Linked DNA regions of Drosophila melanogaster. The protein of the gene in region 3 interacts with the protein of the main gene of each other region in a pairwise test. Each region holds a gene or a part of one and is shown on either strand. Other genes may lie near its edges.

Region 1 (6,042 bases), on a different chromosome or scaffold from region 3:
GCTGATTTGTTAATCCATATAAAGGATTATTTTAATTTGAGCAGGAATAAGACCCGTTATTAGTAGTGGGTATAACATTAAAACTTTGATATTTATCTTTATTTAACTGTGCATATAGACCTTTGTTTTTAATGACCTTACATCTTAGAGAATTGTAAAATTATAACTCAGTCGGTATTCAATTATTTTATATTTTTGTAATATCTCGCGCACTGGGAAAACTATCGATAGACTCAGGGATGATTTTCAGATAGACATTTCAATATCGGAAATGTTGAAATTGCAAAAGAAAACTGAAGATTCGAAATTCGCAGTGTTCTTGGATCACAAGACACTTATAAACGAAGCATATGACGAATTTAAGCTCAAGTCCGAACTGTTCCAGTTCCATGCCAAAAAGACGGACAAAGGCATTGAGGAAGACAAGACCAGGAAGCGCAAAAGGAAAGCCGGCGTAGAAGATGCGTCGTCCTTGGAGGATTTACACTTAGTGAATGAATATCTAGAGCTTCTGAGCAAGCCCGTTGAACCGGAGGACAGTTCACCGATGAAGAGGCACTGGGAGGATGGCTACAACGTGCCCCAGTTGCATGGAGCCAACGAAAGTGGACGGATGCAGCGGTTTCTGAGAGTTGATGGATCCCGTGGCGTGTACTTGATTCCCAATCAATCCCGATTCTTCAACCACAATGTGGACAATCTGCCTGCACTACTGCACCAACTTCTGCCCGCCTACGATCTCATCGTGCTGGATCCTCCGTGGCGGAATAAGTACATCCGCAGGCTGAAGCGGGCCAAGCCGGAGCTGGGATACTCGATGCTGAGCAATGAGCAATTGTCGCACATACCGCTCTCGAAGCTTACGCACCCACGGTCACTGGTGGCCATCTGGTGCACCAATTCGACGCTGCATCAGTTGGCCCTGGAGCAGCAGCTGCTGCCCAGTTGGAATCTCCGGTTGCTCCACAAGCTCCGATGGTACAAACTTAGCACAGACCATGAACTAATTGCTCCCCCGCAGTCGGATCTCACCCAGAAGCAGCCTTACGAGATGCTCTACGTGGCCTGTCGCTCCGATGCTTCTGAAAACTATGGAAAAGATATCCAACAGACCGAGCTGATCTTCAGCGTGCCCAGCATTGTGCATTCCCACAAGCCACCACTGCTGTCTTGGCTGAGGGAGCACCTCCTGTTGGATAAGGACCAGCTGGAACCAAACTGCCTGGAGCTGTTTGCCCGATATCTGCATCCCCACTTCACTTCAATTGGCTTAGAAGTGCTCAAACTGATGGACGAAAGGCTATATGAAGTCCGTAAAGTAGAACATTGCAACCAGGAGGAGGTAAATTAGCTACGCCTAATTATTGTATTTAATTTTTACAAGTACCTCATTAAATAAGGGATTTATAAGCAGCTATGAGTTTTAACAATTTTATTTGTGTACTGTTAATGAGAGCAAATGCATTTGAATTTTGTGTGTAGGCGGCCGGCGGATGGGTTTCCTTCTTCCAGAGAAGCCAACGATGCCTGGCTGAAGCTAAATGTTAAACATTTGGGGTGGCGTGTGTGGGATTTTGTTTTGTTTTTTCTTTTGAGTGTTAAATTAAGTATTAAAGGATAGTAAGCATTATTAATACACGTGGTTAATCGCAGGCTACTACTCCTGACCCTGGGCCATGGCCGCCGGATTGGTGGGCTCGTTGCCGCCGCGTTTCTTTGATCCAGAGACGATATCATCGATGCGCAGCAGCAGGATGGCCGTCTCCACGGCGGTCTTGTAGGTCTGAAGCTTGACGGCCAGCGGCTCCCAGATGTTCTTCACGTTCATGTCCACGATTTCGCCGGACTCGCCGTCGATGCCCCAGGCGCAGACACCATCGCCGGTGTGGGAGGCGTGCTTGGCGCGGAGAGCAGTCAGAGCACGGATCGTGTTGGCGCCGCAATTCTGAGCCAGTGTGCGCGGTATGATCTCTAGGGCGTGGGCCACCGCCGTGTATGGTCCCTTAACCTGCTTGCGCGTGAGCAGCTGGGAGGCAGCCATCTCAACGGCTCCGCCGCCAGCCACCAGGCGTGGCTCCAGCACCAAGTTGCGGGCCACGTGCAGGGCGTCCTGCAGGTTGCGCTCCGTTTCGTTCAAGATGTCCTTGCTGGCACCGCGCAGCAGGATGGTGCAGGCCTTGGGCTCCTTGCACTCCGTCACGAAAGTGAAGTACTCATCGCCGATCTTTTTGACTTCGAACAGTCCAGCTCCCGTGCCCACATCCTTCTCGGTTAGCTCCTCAGTGCGGTTCACGATGGTGGCACCACAGGCGCGGGCGATGCGCAGATTGTCAGTCTTACGCAGCCGACGGATGGCCGTGATGCCAGCCTTCAGCAAATAGTGCTGGGCGAGATCGGAGACACCCTTCTCAGTGAATACCAAATCCGGTTTCACGGCAATGATGTCGGCGCAGATGCGCTGCACAAACTCCTCCTCGATCTGCAGCATGCGGGTGAAGTCTTGCTCCCCGATTATCTCCACGTTGGTTTGGCTCTCGCCCTTCTTGTACTCCAGCGAGCAGTCAAGCAGCACGATGCGGGGATTCTCGATGAGGCGTCGCATCTTGGGATGCGTCACGTCTTTGTTGATCATCACGCCCTTAAGAACACACGACTCCTCGATGGCGCCACCCGGGATCTTCTCCACCTTGGCATAGCTGTGAAAGTAACAAAGTTAAAATTATTTATTCAAAAATAATATGCATAACAAATTTCGTTCTTACCGTTTAATGTCTACCTCCAGACGGCCGTTCTCACTTAGCGTCACTGTCTCGACTGCGTCCAGGGCAATCTTGACGGCAAGGTCGGACCACTTGCCAATGAACTTGGTGCCCACACAGGCCTTGACCACATCGGCCATCTTGGCCTTATCCTTGACGTCCAACTGGATGCTAAGCTGGGACTGCAGGTGGCCGACGATGTCCTCGAGGGCCTCGCGATAGGCGCGAATGATAACAGTGGGGTGGATCTGTTGCTGGAGGAAGGGCTCGGCGGCGGCCAGCATCTCGCCGGCCAGGACGATGACCGATGTGGTACCATCGCCAACCTCCTCGTCTTGTGTGCGAGCAATTTCAATCATGCTCTTGGCCGCCGGGTGCTGCACAGTGATCTCACGCAGGATGGCGTTGCCATCGTTGGTCATCACGATGCCGCCCATTGGGTCCATCAGCATCTTCAGCATGGCCTGTGGCCCCAGACATGTGCGTATCACATCGGCGATGGCCTGGAAAAAGACGTTTTAATCAACAGATGGTCGGAAAACGCGAGAACACAAAAACCCAAGACCCAGACATGTGAGTCACGCATACCTTTCCGGCTTGGATGTTCTCCAACTGCACTTTGCGGCCCGATTCTCTCTTTGTGTTTTGACCTGTCGGCGGGTAATTCGATTGCAATTGGGCTCTACGACGTGCAAATTTCATACTCACTCAACACGAGTATTGGCTGCTGTCCACCGAACATCTTTCTGGCTGTTTAATTTATTTCTGCGTGAAAACAATTGAACTCGTGCTGGCGCTGCCGCTGTTTGAAAGAGAATGAGTGAGGTTAGAACCGCCGATGACACATTATTCGAGAAGGTTCGATAGGATATTGAGCGGACCGGCTTGTTAGTTACTTCTGCCAGTTCCTTCTTCTAGTTTCTTTTCTTTCCTCACTTACTGCTAACTGACTTTTGCGATCGCTTATAAGTTTAATTCAAATTCTCCACAATTCGAAGCAGCAGCTCTCTTAAGAATCGATATCGAGAAACAGTATACTTACACTATGCAGCTTTTGTTATCGATGTCACAGAATTACATTCGTCATAACTGCGATTTTTTGAAGGCGCCTAACTTGGTTTTAAATTTTCCACCCTGAGGTTTAAGCGAAATCAAAACATTAAACTTGTAACAATAAATAATATTTTCTACGGTGTAAGTGATACTGGAAATTAATTTATATTACGAATGGATTTTAAATTTATGTTATATAGCATATTTCTATCACATCATAATTAAAATGTGGAAATTTTGAAGCCTAAAAAGCCTAACCAACTAAACTCAAAAGAAGTTAAAATATAATTTATGAAAATTGTATCACCTTCGAAAAAGAAAATGTTGGAGGATATTCTGAATATAACGGGGGAAAAGTGATTACTTGGAATGATGAGTTACATAAACAGCGTCGAACTTTTTAATATTTGAAGATCCTGTGCTGTATTCAATAAAACTGCTCAAAACGTATTAAATGGATTTCATGGTAGTTTTTATATATAAATGGAAAAACAAATAAGTTTTGCAAATACTTTAAAAGTGTAGTGTAAGCGTTTCATAAATTAAATAAATTATCGATATCGATAACAAACCGCGAGTCAGCTGTGGCCTGTTTGTTTACGATACATTTCGGCTTCAATTTGTTTTTAATAGTTATTAATTTTTTAACTAGACAACATGGAGGCCAAGAAGATATCTTTTGGCTTTAGTAAATTGTCCAAGAAACCAAACATTCTGCCCAGCAAGCAGCCGAAAGAGGAAAGCAAGGTGGAGTTGATAAAATGCTTGGAAGGAAACGAAATCATGCCAGTCGAGTAAGTTAAAATATCTTGAAATAGTTTTATACTCATATGTAATATTTAGCGAAAAGGTGGAAGCTGCTCCTCTTACCATCAAAATGATAGGCATGCAGAAGACTTCGTCCGCTTTGGCGAGTCTGATGAGGAGGCGGGCAGTTCTGCTGGGCGAGGAGGAACCGGATCCAGAGGAGGTGACTCCAGTGGCTCAGTCTATAGCAGAGGTCACCGCAGGCGGTCCAACGGAGAGTCTGGAACAGAGAGCAGCTCGGGAATTGATATCTGCCATCCAAAATAACGGTGCCGAAGGCCTAGATGACCAGAAACTTGTCCTGCCCGCCCTAAGCGCAGACGAACTGCCTCTCGATGGTGCCAAGGAGGCAACACTAGATGACTATGACAACATACCGATACAACAATTTGGCCTAGCCATGCTGCGCGGCATGGGCTGGGTTGATCCACCGCCAAAAAAGAAGGGCTCAGGACCCATCGATGATGCCCCCTTTCTGCGACCCAAAGGCATGGGCCTGGGAGCAGATAAGGCGCTCAAACCTAAAGCTCTACTGGTCCAGCCGGAGAAGAACGAGGTACTGGAGATTAAGAAGCAGGCGTACGTGCGCATTCTGGGCGGAAAGCAGAAGGATCAGTATGGCCAAATCCAAGGTTTTGATGACCATGCAGGGCGAGTAATTGTCAAAATGGCAATTGGAGGGGCCAAAGAGGCGTTCAACGAGTTCCTTTGTCAGCCCGTATCCCGCAAGGAGTACTCTCAGTATGGCAAGTGCATAAGTAAGTGGAGCCTGGAAAATGCAAATCCTTTATATTTGTGACATTTTTATATTTCTTTTACATTTACTTTCAGACACTGCCAAATACGAAGAATTCAAAAAAAATGAAAACGAGCATGGCCAGATTATTGTGAAGCAGGAAAATCCGTCAGGAAGAAGGGACAGAGACCGCAGGGAAGAAATTAGATCAGACCGGGATGAAGCTCAAAATCAAAAGAGTTCGAAGCCAGGGGACCAGAGATCTAGTAAAGAAGACTATCGCATGAAATGCAAGGAAGAAGATAAAAGGTCTTACAAATATGAAGACAAAAAAACGTACAAAGACGAACATCGCAGGACGTACAAAGACGAGCGAAAATCGTACAAGGAAGCCAAATCTAACAAAGAGGAGGTGGATCGAGAAAAGAAGTATGTGCGGAGTGGTAGCTCCTCTGTATCTAAACGCGAGGAACGTGAGCGTCGTCGTTCGCCGAGTCCCAGAGGCAGAAGCCCATCTAAGTCGAAGCGGGAAGACCGTGACCAAAAGCGTTCGCAAAGTCCCCGAAGCACCAGAAGAACAAAGAGTAGTTCAGACGAGGCAGACGATACGGGAGAGTCCACCGAGAGCGACTCCGACTCTGCATATGAACGCAGGAAGCACAAGAAGAAATCATCCAGCCACAAGTC
Region 2 (4,448 bases), about 11 Mb from region 3:
ACGAGCACCACTGAAGCTCCAACTACGACGAGCACCACAAGCAGCACTGAAGATCCAACTACAACGAGCACCACTGAGGCTCCAACTACGACGAGCACCACTGAAGCTCCAACTACGACAAGTACCACCAGCACCACCAGTGCTCCAACCACAACCACCACCACAGAACGCCCCATTCAGACGCGAGCTCCGCGTGTGGAGCGAATCTTCAACTCCGACGGAGTGGAGGTGCTCTACGGATACTCGTCTGTGGTGCGGACCAACCGCTCGTGAGTGGTCAGCACCACACGACCTTGTCAAGGTCGGACAACTTGCCATTATGTGGAGATTGATGCTCGGGTTGTTTTAGGCAATTTTCAATTCTAAACGAGTTATAAACAAAAATATTTAAATTTTATGCGACGATCCGCACAGTGTGATAAACCAAAAAAAAAAAAGAAAAACAAATAACGATGCGTAAGAAGATATCGATGGAAATACAAATCCGCACAGACATTAAACAAAACAAAAATAATATTGTGCAAAATTTGTGAACGGTCTGCCAAATGACAAAAATGAGGAGAAATGCGTGAGATAAGCGATTTTATAAATTATAAATAAAACATGAACACCCATCTTTCGTTTTGTGTTTGTTTTGGCGATTGCACAAAGCGTTAGTAGGTATTTTAAACATTGTTGATCCGAAAATCGATCTTCAAATGGGACATAATATTGCCGCAACGAAACGTGATTGGCTGAGGTGATCCAAAAGATACCCTCTAATAGTAGCAGAGGGAAAGATAATTTAAATCATGTTTATGTAGGGTCTATTCCTAAAATTGAATATTCAATATAGAGTTTTTAATATAGAGCATTCAATGTAGAGTATTCAATATAGTATAGACTTCTTTCAAATCTAATTCACTGAATATGAATCATTTTGTATATTGTTCGAGCAGCGCACCCAAGAAATCAAGTCAAACACAAGCTCAGACATTCAGCAGCCCACAAGCTGATCGCTGCCCACCTGCAAAAAAAAAAATAAAAAACAGAAAAAGAAAAACCGGCAATCTCCTCAAGAGTTGTCGTCATACATTTTTGGGCTTTATGTTCCGGCATGGACGCAGTTAGTCCGATGGACAGACACGTGGACCAGTCAAGCTGACTGGTTTGGTGTGGTCAGGTCTGCAGGCTTGGGTCGCCTGGCAGATTATTCATTCATCGATCGGCTTGTGAAAATCCATGAATCCATGAAGAAGCACAGGGCTTTTTTGGGGGTTTTGCAATGAGTATCACGTTTGCTATGCCTCACCCTCGATGGAATTTGAAAGCAATCGGCTATAAAACAAACACCAAGCGCTAATTTCCATTTGAACTTGAGCGGCAGTCGCTAAACTGCATGTTGAATATGGTTCGAATGAATGCGGATCGAAGGTTTTGGCGATACGGGTTTTTTTTTTTTTGGCCACTTAACTGGCCTTTATTTACTAAGCCAACTGACTTAGTAAGCTCTAGGTCGTGGGATGTACCGATATCAGGCAGTTAGTCATAAGCTTAACGGGATGAAGAAAAATATATATATTAAGATGGTAACCACAATTGCAGAAATGAAATTAATAGATTAGTTATTTCTATCATAACATTGAAGTAATTTCTCTATCTCTCCATTTTCCTTGCTTATGAATAAATTTATCCTGGACATTTAATGACCCAAATTACTACAGTAGATTGATTTGTAAAACAAAAAGATTCGCAAATATTTCTCACTGTATGCTTGCTACAGTAAGCTCTGGCTATAAAAGCTTCATTCGCAGAAAATAAAAACAACTTCTGTTACAGCCGAAAACTATGCCACTTATATATTTAAGCTCTAGTTAACCATTGTTAACAAGTTAAGTAGACTTATTTTTGCTTTCTTTGTTTCATTATGGAAATTAAGTTGTCATACGAAAAAAAAAAAACACAGGATAGTGGGACATCCCACGATGAAATTATATGCACTCTGCGCTATCCTGCTCCTTGCCATTGTGGCAGTCCAAGGATATCCTGGTATACACGGTGGCTTTGGACACGGAGGACACGGTGGACTCAGTGGCTTGGGAGGACTTGGCGGCTTAGGAGGACGCGTTGGTTTCGGAGGACCCGGTGGCTATGGAGGACCCGGTGGCTACGGAGGACTCGGTGGCTACGGCGGACCCGGTAGCTACGGCGGTGGTGGTGGAGGCGCAGTAGCCACTGCCAACGCTAATGCAAACGCAAACTCAGTTGGTTACAGTCCGGGTGCTTACTACGGATAAGGAATGATGATAACAGCAGTCCAGAAACGGCAATTGCTTTAAAAAATAAACAAATGCATAATTATTGCATAAAGACTAAGACATTTTTCTATTATTACTTTTGCCAAACGTTATCAACACAATGGCCTTACCTTCTATGTATAATATACTATAAATATAAATTTATTAATTTTTAATTATTATTTATTAAGTGAAGAATATATATATAATTTTCGGGTTCAAAAGTTGTAATCACCGGAAAAGGAATTTTGTATAAAATGTGTAAACAGAAGCAAATCTAAGGACTTACATGATAAACTAGTTTTTATAGCTGATTATCATAATGAATTTATCTGAGCTTTTTTACAGCCTGAAAATATACTTTACCAAAACATGGCTTGCCAAAGCTAACCAGTTTTCAATTATTGATAACATAGTATATAAGCATATACTATACATATAGGTAATATTAAACGTCATGCGTTTTTAATATATGTCTAATTAATGTGCTAATCGAAGCCCCCATATATATGCCGATACAATATCGATTCTGTGATTTTTTTTGTTTTTCAGATAAACAAGTCGTCCACCTGTCACGGATGCTGGTATAAAAGAGGCCAGCACGCGATCACAAAACATCGCAATCTCTAACGATGAAGTTCCTGGCTATCTGCATTTTTCTAATCTTCGCCCTGGTGGCCGTTCAGGCACATCCTGGTGGATTCGGCGGATTCGGTGGAGGCGGTGGTGGCGGTGGTCGCGGTGGAGGCGGTGGAGGCGGTGGAGTCGGTGGAGTCGGCGGTTCGAACGCAGTTGCCAACGCGAATGCCGCTGCAACCGCCGACAGCAGAGGAGGCGGCCCAGCTTCCGCCTCGGCCTCGGCCACTGCAACCGCCAACGCCAGCTCCGGAGGAGGTGGAGGTGGACATGGCAGACATGGATAGGCTCGAAACGGATTCATAACTGTACTCTCGAAAAGTGGGCACGTCCGCTGACAGACCTACTAAACTGAAACCAATACCAATACCAATAAATATTAAAATGCTAATTCTGTTTTTGGAAATCCAAGATGTTGTTTTCGTATATTAGGTTAATAACCAGTTTATGAGTCGGGCATTATTTATAGATCTAATGACGTCAAACAAGATTTCTCTAGCCTCCTAAAAACAGACTAAGTTAACAGCGGGAGCTAATATTAGAAACTATGTTTTAAAATGTATCTAACAACTTGAATTACAACTGAAAAGTATGCATTATATATATATAGTTTTTGCAAATAGTTAGTGCATCTCAATTTTAATTTAATTTATTTTTATATTTAAAATCATTAAGCTCATTTCATTCATCATTTGTTTGTACAGCTTACCCGGAAATCCAAACAATTTGTGAGTTTTTTTTTTTTGTGTGATTACTTTTTTTATGTAATTAAGTAATTGCATTTGCCACCCACAACAAGTCTTGAATTTGGCCACTTACGGAGTGACACACTCAATTTCAGCAGGTCTAATAAATCGAAGATATTTTTTCACAAATGAAGTCCGACGTCTCTTGATATATTGTCAAGCTTCTTAAAACTCGGGTTTGCAATATTTAAATTTGCAAATTATCAACATCTGGATAAGTTTCTACGTTTACGGTAGCCAAACCTTTCCGAAATAAAACTAGTTTTATACCCCTTAATCGTACAGTAATAGGGTATGCTAGGCTTATTAGAATGTATGAAACAGATAGAAGGAGCATTTTCAATCTATATTGCATTCAGATTTTAGGGACGTTGCACTTTTGAAAAATGCTTTTGATATTTTTTTGTTTAATTACCATTTTTTCCTATCTATTGATGTGCCAAATGAACTAGTTGAGTAACGGGTATCAGATAGTCGAGGAACTCGGCTATAGCGTTTTTTCTAGTTTTTAATTCTAGCTAAATTATCTACATATTATTATCATAGTTAATTTTTGCACTAATCAAAGCACACAGTCTGCATATCAATGATGTTTTCGAAATGTCTGTTCTTTTCTGTTGCTCTAGAAAGTGGAACACACATTATAATTATAATTTGTAAATCTAAAGAGTAAAATATTTTTCTTTGTTTATTCCAAAAAGACTACAAACATTTTTACAAAATACGCTTTCAATGTATGAATTGTAATTTTATCAGCCTAGAACAATTTTGCGACTGAATCATTTCATTT
Region 3 (6,126 bases):
TCACCGCGCTATATAAATAAAAACTCTAAAAATATTAACTAGAGGAACTTAAGCATTACATACGATCGTTCCCTTTGGCTTCTAAAGTTATCCAACACAGTCCGAAACGGATACAGAGCTCCCCCCACAACAGCCATTTAATCCCTACGACCGTGTCAAATGAATTTGACTTGTGCTGGCCGCTAGTCCTATCTCTTCGTCCGATTCATCTGAATCCAATGGACTCACTCGAATGGCTTGGTACCACTTGTTAGTCAGGTCGGCCATCTGTGACTTGCACTCGTGCAATTCCTGACTATTGAACCGACGTGTAAAAAACGGAATAAAGTACTTGCGATCCATGCGCCCAAAACGATCGCGCGCTTGAGTAAAGGTGACGTCCTCTTCCTCGGTGAGTTCAGACAAGTGTTCAGAGTCGATTGCCTGGCCCCATTCGCGAGTTTTCGATAGGGAAATAGATTTTGAACGCTTCCTACCGCTGCCGTTGCGTCGACCTCCCTCCTCAGCGGCATTCCTTCCAGAGCCGCGTGCCCGCCGTTTTTTTCCTGGCTTAAGGTACTTTAGCAGAGGCATTGTGGAGCCCCCCAGCACTAGCGTGGTAAATAGCACAATGATTAATCTGAAATTTTAATTCTTCAATGACTGAGCATTATTTTACAATCCGGAATATGCTTACGTTGTTGTTATGATGACGTGTCGTTTCTCCTGGCTGTCAAGATTCAAGTGCAAAGATAGCGCGTAGGAAATCGCTCCGCGTAGGCCAGAAAACCACATAATGAACTGCATCTTGTTATTGATCTTATGCTCGCGAAATTTGTTGACCAAGAACGCGAGCGGAAAAATATTGCAGGCGCGGCCAATTAAGCAAAGCACAATGGCCCATATAACAAAAGATAGTTCAACTTGGTGTTTAAAAGAAAAGATTGCTAATCCCAGATAAGCAAACACGCAGGTCTCAGCAATGAAAGCTAGTGTCCTCATCGTCTGCTGCATGGTAATTTGGGTAACCTACGATTAAAAAAGTTTTAATAATATATAAAATAGGGATATCATATGACTTACAGTGGATAGGTTGAAATGCGTGTAGTGGGACATGACGATTCCGCAAAATAGTATAGCCATAATACCTATAGTTGAAAAAAATGTTTAGCTTTTAGAGTCATAGTCAACAACATTGATATACCGCTTAAGTGTATTCCCTCTGCCAAGACGTAAGGTGCGTAAGTAAACATTAGCATCATCGCGAACTCGAGGGATGGATGCTTTCGTAAATCGATGTGCTTCAGAAGAAGAGCCGAAATTAGTGCAAATATGACTCCAATGCCCGCCGAAGCAAAGAACATCGCGCAAAAGGTCTTCAACGCGCTGAACATGGCTTCTCCAGTGCTGGCCTCAGCATTGACGTTAGCGGATTGGGTTATGGATGCAGTCAGCACAATAGATATGGCGTCGTTGAGGATGCTTTCGCCGAATACCAACATGTTGAGTATGGGGTCTACGTCAAGAGCATGGAAAATTGCCACTGTTGCCACAGGATCAACAGCAGAGATGAGAGAACCGAAGGCAAAGGATTCCGAAAAGCTTAGGCTAAAATTTAGGATAAATTATTGAATGAAATTGACAATTTATTTTAAACTTGCCGAAATGCCACCTCCCCCAGGCCCAGCAGGTAAATCCCCGCCCCGATGACTAGTGCAGAAATTGTTGTACCGAATATGGCAAAGACCAGTATGGATCCGATGTTCTGAAAGAAGTTTCCCTTGTGCAGATTGTAACCGGACTCGAATATAATGGGCGGCAGGAGCACCAGAAAGAAGCCCATGGGCGAGAAGACCTCTTCACGTTTCCAACTGCCATTCTGCCCAGACATAACGTTCAGCGAAAGGCCAATAAAGGCGCCCAGAAAGACTACCACAATGCTTTCTGGCAGGTACTGGAACCCGGTCTGGAGCATAGAGTGGATAAGCAGGATGCCCAACATGATAACGCAGATGACGAAAAACAGTGAGAGTGAGGAGTTGTGCTCCTGCTCGACAGCATGGGAATCGATTAGAGGCGGATCTGTGACCAATGTGGATGCGTTTCCCCTTTTCGTGGTGCTTGCATTACCAGATGCAGAAATCGAGGGCGTGACATTTCCAAGCGGACTGTTGACGAAGACATCCGAAACGGTGTGGATAGAGCTACTATTATCTGTAGTGGTGGTGTTGCTTGATGTTTTGCTTTGGGGCACCTCCTGTCCACTGATGCTTTCCGGACCCGCGTGCACCAACAGTAAGAGTGCAGCTGCACTATAAGCTACCCAAACCCTCATTTTTGCCGACAAAACGTGACGTGGTCGCTATTAACGCTCGCATTTAACTTTTCACTATTTGTTCAATTTGTTTTTTCACAAACATCTGTTTATCGCCCTATCTGACGTATATCGGGGAGAGTTGCCGTATCATTTTGGCTTATTGGCGCGTGCCTTTCATATATTCAAAAGAAAATTGTGCACTTAATTGCGTGCAGTATATTTTACCATATAATGAATTTATTTAAATAATTGGCTTTTGCCCAGTCATTGTAGCTGATAGCTCTTGTGAAGTGTCTTGAAAATTGAGCATTTTAAGTTTAAATATTTTTGTCTACGTATTGAGAACGTTTCTTACGGCAAAAAGAAAATTATATATGTATTAGAAAAGTGAAATAATAAAAAACCTTGTTATTGGCAAAGTGATAAATTGTTTAGTTAAGGCTATTACAATAACTGACGATAAATCAGTAAAATAAATGCATTGCCACAATCTACAGTTCGCAAGCACCCACCATTTGTGCTCAAGAATAATGTGCCCTGCGCATCTGTTCGTTCAGGCACACGCGATCTTCTTAGGCCCCGTGGGGTCACACCTTATTTGAAAGATAATGGGGCTTGTTGTTTTCGGTTATATTCAGTGGGTATTAGAATTTTAAAAAATGTACATGCAAAAACTGATTACCAGGCTCCTTGATCTTGGCAGACCTTGTTTGTCTTCTTGGCTGTGGCATGACGTAAGCACTTTTTCAAAAGCACAAATTGTTCGAATAGTATGAGAACCCTAATTGACGACTTTCCTTGACAAGATAGTGTCGAACGATCCATCTCCAAAAGGGCAGTCACTCCATGTTAGGGAAAAGCTAGGGTTTCAACAGATACAGACATTCGTTTAAAAATTCGCTTCGAATTGCGCTTCGTGTAGCGATTGTCTATATCATCGAATATGTATATGTCAATTGCTGTACATAAGAGAAGCCGAGAGAGCAATGCTAAACAGATTTTAAAAATTAGGTATATAGGTGGCTGCCGTGGTAGCACATAGTTTTGTTCTGATAAGCTCTTATTTCTTGCCGACTCATCTTCTCAAATGCTGTCTACAAAAATTTATAAATATTATTCGTCTGTAAAAATCATCCGCAGTTGAACGCAGGTTGAGCAGGAAGCTAGTCGAGACTATAATCCATATCTTGTCTGATCCTTTGTTCAAAACCACAGTGAGTATAAAATAAAGGATCTGGATCTAGATTCACTACAGTTCACTCCGGAGCGGGGTGGCAACGCTGGGCGGCGGAACAGCTGCTTAAAACCCAAAAACGTGGAGATACTGAAGAAGTAAAATCATTTGAGAGTACCGAGAACGCTAGGAAAGTTTCCCTAAAGAGCGCCCAAATAAGTCTCAAAATAATAATCGAGTCAGCCGAAGAGAACCGCCTCCTCCGTTTGCGACGATAAGCAAAAGCCCGCTCTCTCGTTGGAGGTATAAATTCTGAATGGCATTAAAAAGTTGCGCTCTTTTTCTTCAGAACCGTCGCTAAGATAGGACGTGTGTTGGCTGCGCCGCTGATTTGGTTGCCGTCGCTGAACCAGTATAACTCAGAATCAGTGTGTATAATTTGTTGAACTAATAGCTAGAACGTCGAACACGCATTTTAAACAGCTAGCAGCACCGAGCCCTCACCTAGCGACTAGTTTAGCTTTGAACCCGCTCAACGTGCGTCTCATGTATGTAGCGACGATTGTGGCAAACGCGCAGCATAAAAACATAAAAGAAGGGCGATTATATAAAAAAAACTATAACGAAAAGTGTGCGAATACCGGAAAATCCCAACAGCCTCGAGGCGGCCTATAGCTTAGATTCGCGAATGCGAAAATAGATGTGTTTTGCAAGAGTTCGGAAAATCAATTTCGTTAAGCGTTTTTTAACAACCGCTAATGTGGCCTCTCTTTCTCTCTGTTCCCCCAGCTCCACCAACAATTTAGCCGACCGGAACTCGGGTTATAGCACTGCTCCCCCATTGCCCCTTCAAACTTCGAGTTACATATTACAAACTACCCATCAACATGCCGCAAAAGACAAACGGACATAGCGCCAACGGATGCAACGGCAGCAATGGCAACTCATATGACATGGAAGACGGAGCTACATTCCTGTTCACTTCCGAGTCCGTTGGCGAGGGTCATCCAGGTGAGTGCTTCATTGCATCTGCGGCGCCTCCTATTGCATCATACCGATAGTGTCAGTGTAAAAAAAGAAACAATCTCAAATGCCCCTTCGGGCGTGGTGAGAGATGTTGCCTGTCAGTTCTCATAACCTGACCAAACTGATTCTCTAGCGTCTGAGGCCCTTCTGTCTGAAGTCCCTTTCCCTGTATACCCAGTTCCACACCTCCACCGTCTACTCACTTCTGCTTACCGCCTGAACTCTAACAAAATGGCGACGAAATTATGTCCATACCTTTGTTGATTTCTACCCAATTTGCACGACTTGAACAGAGGCTGAGAACGGGAAGAAGAGCTAGTAAAACGTGCCTCTGTTGCATCGCCCGGTGACCAAGCCGGAAAGCTGGGACCACGGAGAACAGCTGGCTTCTCTTGAAATCCCCGCACAACAGCGGGCTAAACCTTGTGCTTGGATGGGCAGACGCAATTAATAGACTGGTTCTTTATCGTTTGCGGCTCTCACATATGTATGTATGTGTGTACAGAGAGACTACGTCATGCGCACCATGTGCTTGTGGCTCATGGGAGATGCGAAATTCAAGTATTCTCTACGTTGTTCTACGTTGTCCACGCACTTGTTCATTTGATCGCAGATGGCGATCAAAACAACGGCCAACACAAACATACCTTACATTTTTCTAGACCGCTGTCAAAGCTTATTTTTTTCACCGAAATTGCCAACCACGTGTTTTGCTCGAGCTCGATCTTTTCGCCCCTCCCAGAGTTTGTTTATATCAGCAGTGGCGACCAGTATAGTAGTGTGTTTGACAACAGCTGTTGATAAGCCGAGCGACCTTTTATACTACGCATTGATTACTTTTACTATTCTATACTATTTTATTTTATAATGCTAATTAAGTCGGCTTGGCAAGCTAGCCCTAGACAATCTAGCCCTATACAATCGTGATGATAAGCGCCGAGTGCCATTCAGAAGAATACACCCCAAATGGTTGACATTAATATCGCCTGTCTTTTTGTAATAAATGAGTGACGGACTTGTTAGAATAGATAATTAGACTAGCCGGAAATTGGAAACCCTGAAACCCATTTCAGAGTAGCTACTTTAAACCCTTGACCTAACTAGTTTCCTCGCAATCATTATCCCAGCCGAAATCGATACCATGCGCCATTTCTATGAGTCAACAGTTTTGGTAATTTATGTTGCTATTGCTGACGCATGTTCGAGTTCAATAACGCCTTTACTACGAAAAGTAGCCGAATGTTGACGGACTCCAATTACGCGCCAAGTTTTGAGGCAAGCGCGAGCAACCCGACTGGTATCAGATGAATCCGACTCCCAGGATTTCATGGACGATTCGGCTTCAAATGTCATCATTTTGTGTTTGGACAACACTACGGTCGCCTTATGCTCTTGTTCTGGGAATTGAATTTCGCTGTCAATAGCAGACAGATTAAATGAAACCGCATGGCCCAGCAAATTTTGATCCGTCGCACTGAATAACATTTTGGCCCGTTCCTCCTTCCACTCCCCGACAAAAATGCTTTCCCCTCCTTCTTCGCCCACCTCTGGCTTACCTCTTGCTTACCTTATTTTTTTTAGACAAAATGTGCGACCAAATCAGCGACGCTATCTTGGATGCCCATCTGAA
Region 4 (6,150 bases), on a different chromosome or scaffold from region 3:
GGACTTATCCCGCTTGACCACCACGCTGCGTAATTTGGGTTTCTCCATGGTAAAACGTTGGGTCAACTCACTTTCCGGTTCCGGCTTCTTGTTCACGGTGGTGGGTCGCAATTGGGCCGCCTTCTTCACGTGCTCGGGCACCTTCTCGTCCACGGTGGTGTCCTCTTCCTCGCTCTCCTCCTCTTCGGACTCGCTTTCCTCTTCGCTTTCCTCCTCCTCAGACTCGGTTTCCTCTTCGGTCTCTTCCTCCTCCTCGCTTTCTTCTTCCTCGGAGGAGGATTCGGGTGGTGGTGTCGGCTCCTTCTTCTTTTTGAGCGCTGAAGTGGTGGCTACTGGCTTCTTGGGCCCCACGGTGGGCGCCACTTTCTTGATTGGCTCCGGTGCTTTCTTGGTATTTACGGGTTCTGGTGTCTTCTTGGCCGCCGTTGTGCTTGTGGCCAGTGAAGATTTCTTTACAGGCTCTATCGTCTTCTTAGCCGGTTCAGGGGTCGAAGTCTTCCTCGCGGCTGCAGTCGTGGTAGCAGTTGCTTTTGGTTTGGCCACAGTCGGCTTTTCTCCATTTTCCTTTGTTGCCGGAGAGGCGGTCGTCGTCGTCGCTGTTTTCTTTGCCCACGGAGTGGCAGTGGGCTTTGTGGTACTGCTGGTGCCACTGGTGCCGCCGTCGTCCTTCACCCATGGCGGACGGAACGTGGTGCGTCCGCCGGGCGCACTGCTTGCACTGCTTGTCCCCGCACGGGGCGTCACAAACGGCATTTCGTAGTCGCTCGAACTGCTTGCGGTCCTCCGGACTATTCTAGACTATTCCCTCTGGTGGTTTATATTTTTTTCCAGTCTTATTGGTGTTAAATTCTCCAGGGCCCGATGTCGTCGCCCGTCTGTTCGCACACTCTTTTTAAATAATTTGCCGTGAATTCTTTGCTTGTTTTTCCCGCTTCTCTTGGCGTTGCTGCTGATGAAAACACAAAACTTTGCACATTAGCACCGTCGGGGGAAGTTGTCCGAAAAAGTTCTTTCATTCAGATTTTCCGTAATTTTTTTCGTTTATTTTTCTATTTGTTTTTTGATTTTTTTTGTGTATGTGCCTCGCCTTGATAATTCTATTTTACGCGTATTTCTTTTCTAATAGATTTTTATGTATTTTTTTCGTCGCGAATTTGTTGCTGGGAATTTTATTCGTGGTCCGTTGCCGACGATGAGCAACAGCTGTTTGAGATACTTTCAATCCGATTCAATTCATTTCATTTCGTGTATATTTGGGTATGTTTCATTTTGAATTTTATTTTTAACTGAATGCGCTCATTAGCTTTGCTGGCTGTTTTTCTTGTTTCTGTCGCTGTTTCTACTAAGAGACAGAATGTAGGCCTTTGTGTCATAGTCATGGACAGGGACATTCACAGATGCCGAATGTGATGGAAATAGGAATGTAGAGAGGATATGGGGATGATGGCGGTCGGCAATGGGGACCGGGACAAATGCATCAACAAATCCCAACTGAGTGGAATGCTTTTGCAGGCTCTCACAAAAACGCCTACAGTTGCAGCCAAATGTTTAAATTCCAGGATATTTATAGCAATCGATAAAATCGAGATCATCCTATCCGTCAAGATAACAAGGTTTTCTTATAAACTTTCAACTTGTCAAATAATTTAAATAATTTGAACGAAAACGATGAAATGAAAATGCTTTGGGAATGTTTACTTTTCAGAAAAGTATTATATGCCGAACTATTCAACAAACATATTGTGCCATTTGCTGGTGATTTCCAATATTTCTTTCATACGAAAACCAATTACGATAGAACGAAAAATGTTTACATATAAAATGAATTTTAAATCAATTACTCATGGTCGAGAAAAGTTATAGCTTGACTTAATGCTGATAAAGTAAAGTGCAGAAGATGGAAACTATTCGCTCTTGCTGAGTTTTCTTTGGCTCGCGATTTTCCTCTGCCGTTTTTCTATGTATTTTTAATGACCTCATTCCTGGGCAGATTGTAAACAACAATTTGCAACTTTTCCTGCTCTAATTGGGCAAAAGGATAGCGAAACATTCCTCTCGCTTGCAACTGCAACTTTCTGTGACCACTATTATGTTGGCCGCCACTGTGCTGTGAATGTGAATGTCCAGCTAAACGCCTGCGTATGTGTGTGTGTCCGTCCGTCCGTCCGTACATATGCACTCCAATAAACAGCACAAACAAAAAGAACAACAGCAACAACAGCGTCGGTGTATGGGAATAGAGCAACAAAAACAATAACAGAAACGATTTGCTCTGCCACTGGCTGCGATATGTAAAAGGCGAAAATATTTAATTTTAGGTTCTTTGTGCCCGCCGCTGAGAGTGGAAAAAGTGGAAAAAAGTGAAAGACACTGGCGGTGAAGAGAAGCACCCAATTGGGAGAGACAAAACGGAACCAAATCGAAAGAATAAAAGGAAACATACATATCTCTGGCGCTTTCGTCTTTCGCCTTTTTTTCCATTCACTTTGTTTTGTTTTTATTCAACTGGCTCGTTTCACAAAGTAGACAGAAAAACGTACACAAAACTGGTTGTACGGACGGAAAAAAAAGGCCAAAAATTTGTGATAGAAGGGGCGCTCTCGGGGGTCAGAATGAAATCCGAATTCGTTTCATTCCATTGCCATTCCATGGCCTGGTCCAAAACCATCCAACCCCCTTCGTCGAAGCCCATCCCTCCCCCACATTCACCATATTCATTTCCATTCCACTCGTTTTGGGGCGATTGCAAATTTTTTTTTGGCCGGAGCGACGAACACTTTCTCGGTCTTTCCTGCATGGAGGCGTTAATTAAACATGACATGCAAATAAAAATTATACTTAGAAATACAGTCAAACTTCCATTGCAAGAATAACCGACGAAAGTATCTTTTCCGACGTCTATTTGGTTGCCTATCTGTCAGTTCCAATTTGCTTTGAATGCATTCTAAGCTGTTTCCACTCCCAGCTTAAGCGATGCTTATCGATTACTAATTAATGGTTGGCAATTGAATCAGATTCGTAAATTAGATCCATTGACCATTTGACAGCACACGAAGCAAGGGAAGTTATATCGAAGTACGACTGTATTTCGAACATTGCAGAGGATTCCAGAAGATAGTTAAGGCGAGGACGAAACAAAAATGCAATTTCAATTAAAATTGTTAATGAGACTGGCTAATTTGACGCAAAAGTTTCGCGGATCTGTGCTCAGAATGGCAACTAACAGCTAATTCCCGGCCATATTTCATCCTAAGATTGCCTGTCAACAAAAGTGCTTAAAAAAAAAACAAATATATCGGACGGGATATTTTGGGAACTGGCCATTCATAACGCCCCTCCAGAGAGATTTATTAGATCGATTGGCCAGTGACAAGAGCTGCGCATATTGCCGCCCAAATGTACACGAATCTGTGTCTGTGGCTATATGCTATATTTTTGGATATTTCACGGATTTTTCAGATTTTTATTATGTGTATTAATTGGTTCATTCGCGCTCGCTGCAGTTTTCGTAGCACGTTCGCGTCGTTGTACTATATATTGCACAGATATATATTCATATATATATATATATGTTGTATATCTCTTTGAATTGTACGTGTGTGCTGGTTGGGTCAGACACCCGCACATCACCACAACCGCAGGCACACACACACCCGCACACACACAGCCACGAACTCTGGTAGTGAATTTTCAGCAGCGAAGGCAACAGCAGCGCCTATGACGGCGTTTCAAAAACTAAATTCATACATTTTCCAACGCCACGGCGATGGGTGAAAAATTTGAAAATTTTCCCGCTCGCTCTACGAATTCCTCTCTCGTGGGATTTCGCTCATTATCTCTTCGTCGTATTTCGGTGAGCACAAAATGAAGTGAAATGAAAATTTTGTTGACCGACAGAGGCATATTTTTAGCATCTTTTTTGATATGTGGGCACGGTCTGTGGGGGTTTGGGGGGATATGGGGCGGATCCGCGGCGGATCCAATTGACCTTATGGCAGGTGCAGTTCAATGGAATTATTAATAGCCGGCTATTGGCTATGTGGCCCGTGTGCCCCAAGGATACAACCCCCTCGATATCCGCTCATCATTAGGGGCCTCTTATCAGGCGCCTCGCATTCAATGGACCACAATTACGCAAGTTTCTCGGGCGGCGTGGGCGTCGCAGCTAATTTCAGGGGGAGTGGGTGGTTTGGTGGATGGGTGGTTGGTGCGTCTTACCCTGTGATAGAAACCACTCGTCTAGAAAGTCCAAACCCATTAGTGCTTCTGTTCGATGGTCAGTTCTGTCCCAATGCGTTCGTTCTCTCCGAATCGCTTTCAATATTTACATTGTCTACCAAGTGGTTGCTTCCCCGTTTCACTCGCGTGTGCTCCACATTTCGGTGGAGCGGTGCAATCGATCGATCGATCGTTTGATCAGTGCGTATCTGTATGCTGGGGACCCCTTTATCGATTGAACTATTGCTAGACTAATTGATTGGTGATGATACTAATGAACTGGTAATATAAGCTGAATCAGTGAGTAAGCCTCTTATCACCTTATCAACGTAACATAATGTATGCCATTTGCATATCGAGTTTCCACAGGAGTGTTCGATTGAACTAATTTAATTTTGATAGCATTTTCGAATCGTTTTCGATAAAAAGAGTTACTGAGTTACTTGCTGCCGCCGAAATCAATCCAATAGCTGCAACAGAGCGAAAACAAATGATTAAAGTCTATGCCACTGCCGCAAATATTTATTTAACGTGCAATGTAGGTTATCAATGGCATGTTTTCAAATATTTCGTTTTTTTATACACATCTGCGCGAAAGCACGCCACTAATTGTTTTGCCTTGTCAGCATCAGCCGAAAAGTATGCCAAATTGAACGGCAAACATTCCCGCGCACACAAAATAGCCGAGAAATTTCCGCTTAAACGGGCCATTGCTATTCTTTTTTTTTTTTTTGCTGTCCGTCCGTCCGTCTATCTAACAGCATTTCGGCAATATTAATTATATATTTATTCATTTGGCAAAATACAGCGCATATGTATTGGGGGGCTTTAAAAATAGGCTTAAAGGCAATTGCGCTGTGGGTTGGAATGCCAATATGATGCGACTTCCCCCGGGGTCTTATTAATTCATCAGTCCCAAAATGCTCCCAGAATGGTTTCGTCCGCATGTGAGGATTGGCGGGTACTTTTGGACCCCAAAACCACTACGCATCACCTCGCATGGCGAGCCAATGTCAAATGGCTGGAAAAACCTTTCGATGCGCCGGGGTCGCCGACATTTTCAGCGCCGCGTGTCGTCCAAAAACTTCTGCCATCGAAATCGAATTTGACACAAATTAATTGCTATTTGATTTGACAAGTGCGAACGCGGGCGGGGGGCGATGGGGCGGTGGGTCGATTGTGCGGACACAAAGAGCAACAGCGGGGGTTATGTTTAAGTGTTATCATCTAGAAATTGCTTTATTTGTGAAATGTTAGAAGAGACATCTAATGAATACTGAATGAACTCCTTGGCGTTGTGCGTGGAGCCGAGCTCGTTGTGGCTTCTCTTAAACTCGTAAGCTTTGCGAGGACGATGAGGGCCCTCCAATCCAGCCTAGACCTTGGGCGCAGCTGGCGGGGATTGGTGCGGCTTTTGTGGTGCTGCCGCCTGTGGATGGACGTGGGGCACGACGGGCGCCGTGGTGCTGCTGACGCCTTCGGTGTCGTTTATGTGGGTAAAGTGCGGCCAGCTGGAGATCTCGGCGAACAGGCGGCCGCCAGGACACTCGGTATCCCGCACCTGTCGGTGGCCCAGCAGCTTGTAGGCAGGGTCAATGTAGCCCTTGAAAACGCCAAAGGCGATCAGGTTCTTGGCCGCATCCAGCATCTGCTTGGGCGGCAGTTCGGCTAAAGGGAAAATAAGGAAAAGTAATTAGTACGGAGTTTAAGAAGAAAATGAAGAGAAGGAAGAAGGCTCATTAACAACCTAATGAGTTTCCATGACTCTTTAAACGGTATTAAAAAGAAATCTATCCTCTTAAAGTTAGGAGTTAACTTACTTCTCCAATCTCCGATCAGCACAATGCCCACGCTCTTGTCATTGTACTTGGGTGCATGAGCTCCGATGACATTGAATCCCCTGCCGGTGTAAATCATGCCATCGCCGCCGAT

What was found.
Region 1: the proteins of Sam-S (region 3) and CCT3 interact in a two-hybrid assay, tested with the Drosophila melanogaster proteins (one large-scale study listed by BioGRID).
Region 2: the proteins of Sam-S (region 3) and CG17107 interact in a two-hybrid assay, tested with the Drosophila melanogaster proteins (one large-scale study listed by BioGRID).
Region 4: the proteins of Sam-S (region 3) and sals interact in a two-hybrid assay, tested with the Drosophila melanogaster proteins (one large-scale study listed by BioGRID).

The regions. Positions count from the first base shown.
Region 1 is NT_033777.3:16,645,355-16,651,396, reverse strand, and holds CCT3 (chaperonin containing TCP1 subunit 3), read right to left. Parts: upstream 3,793-6,042; 5' UTR 3,502-3,792; coding exon 3,468-3,501; intron 3,410-3,467; coding exon 3,348-3,409; intron 3,263-3,347; coding exon 2,763-3,262; intron 2,697-2,762; coding exon 1,658-2,696; 3' UTR 1,419-1,657; downstream 1-1,418. Other genes in the region: Mettl4 (methyltransferase like 4), read left to right, coding at 272-1,351; CG10324 (uncharacterized protein), read left to right, coding at 4,470-4,606, 4,656-5,377, 5,451-6,042. UniProt on the Drosophila melanogaster protein: Molecular chaperone; assists the folding of proteins upon ATP hydrolysis. Known to play a role, in vitro, in the folding of actin and tubulin.
Region 2 is NT_033779.5:10,679,083-10,683,530, forward strand, and holds CG17107 (uncharacterized protein), read left to right. Parts: upstream 1-2,883; 5' UTR 2,884-2,908; coding exon 2,909-3,199; 3' UTR 3,200-3,446; downstream 3,447-4,448. Other genes in the region: CG17104 (uncharacterized protein), read left to right, coding at 1-273; CG17105 (uncharacterized protein), read left to right, coding at 1,965-2,276.
Region 3 is NT_033779.5:104,329-110,454, forward strand, and holds the start of Sam-S (S-adenosylmethionine synthetase), read left to right. Parts: upstream 1-2,574; 5' UTR 2,575-2,672; intron 2,673-3,432; exon of another isoform or gene 3,433-3,436; 5' UTR 3,437-3,510; exon of another isoform or gene 3,511-4,018; intron 4,019-4,259; 5' UTR 4,260-4,357; coding exon 4,358-4,481; intron 4,482-5,265; exon of another isoform or gene 5,266-5,422; coding exon of another isoform or gene 5,423-5,465; intron 5,466-6,077; coding exon 6,078-6,126. Other genes in the region: Nhe1 (Na[+]/H[+] hydrogen exchanger 1), read right to left, coding at 145-619, 677-1,008, 1,063-1,127, 1,184-1,587, 1,641-2,314. UniProt on the Drosophila melanogaster protein: Catalyzes the formation of S-adenosylmethionine from methionine and ATP. The reaction comprises two steps that are both catalyzed by the same enzyme: formation of S-adenosylmethionine (AdoMet) and triphosphate, and subsequent hydrolysis of the triphosphate.
Region 4 is NT_033777.3:11,447,414-11,453,563, forward strand, and holds the start of sals (sarcomere length short), read right to left. Parts: upstream 3,738-6,150; 5' UTR 3,676-3,737; exon of another isoform or gene 3,654-3,675; intron 950-3,653; 5' UTR 754-949; coding exon 1-753. Other genes in the region: PGRP-LB (peptidoglycan recognition protein LB), read right to left, coding at 5,594-5,886, 6,039-6,150.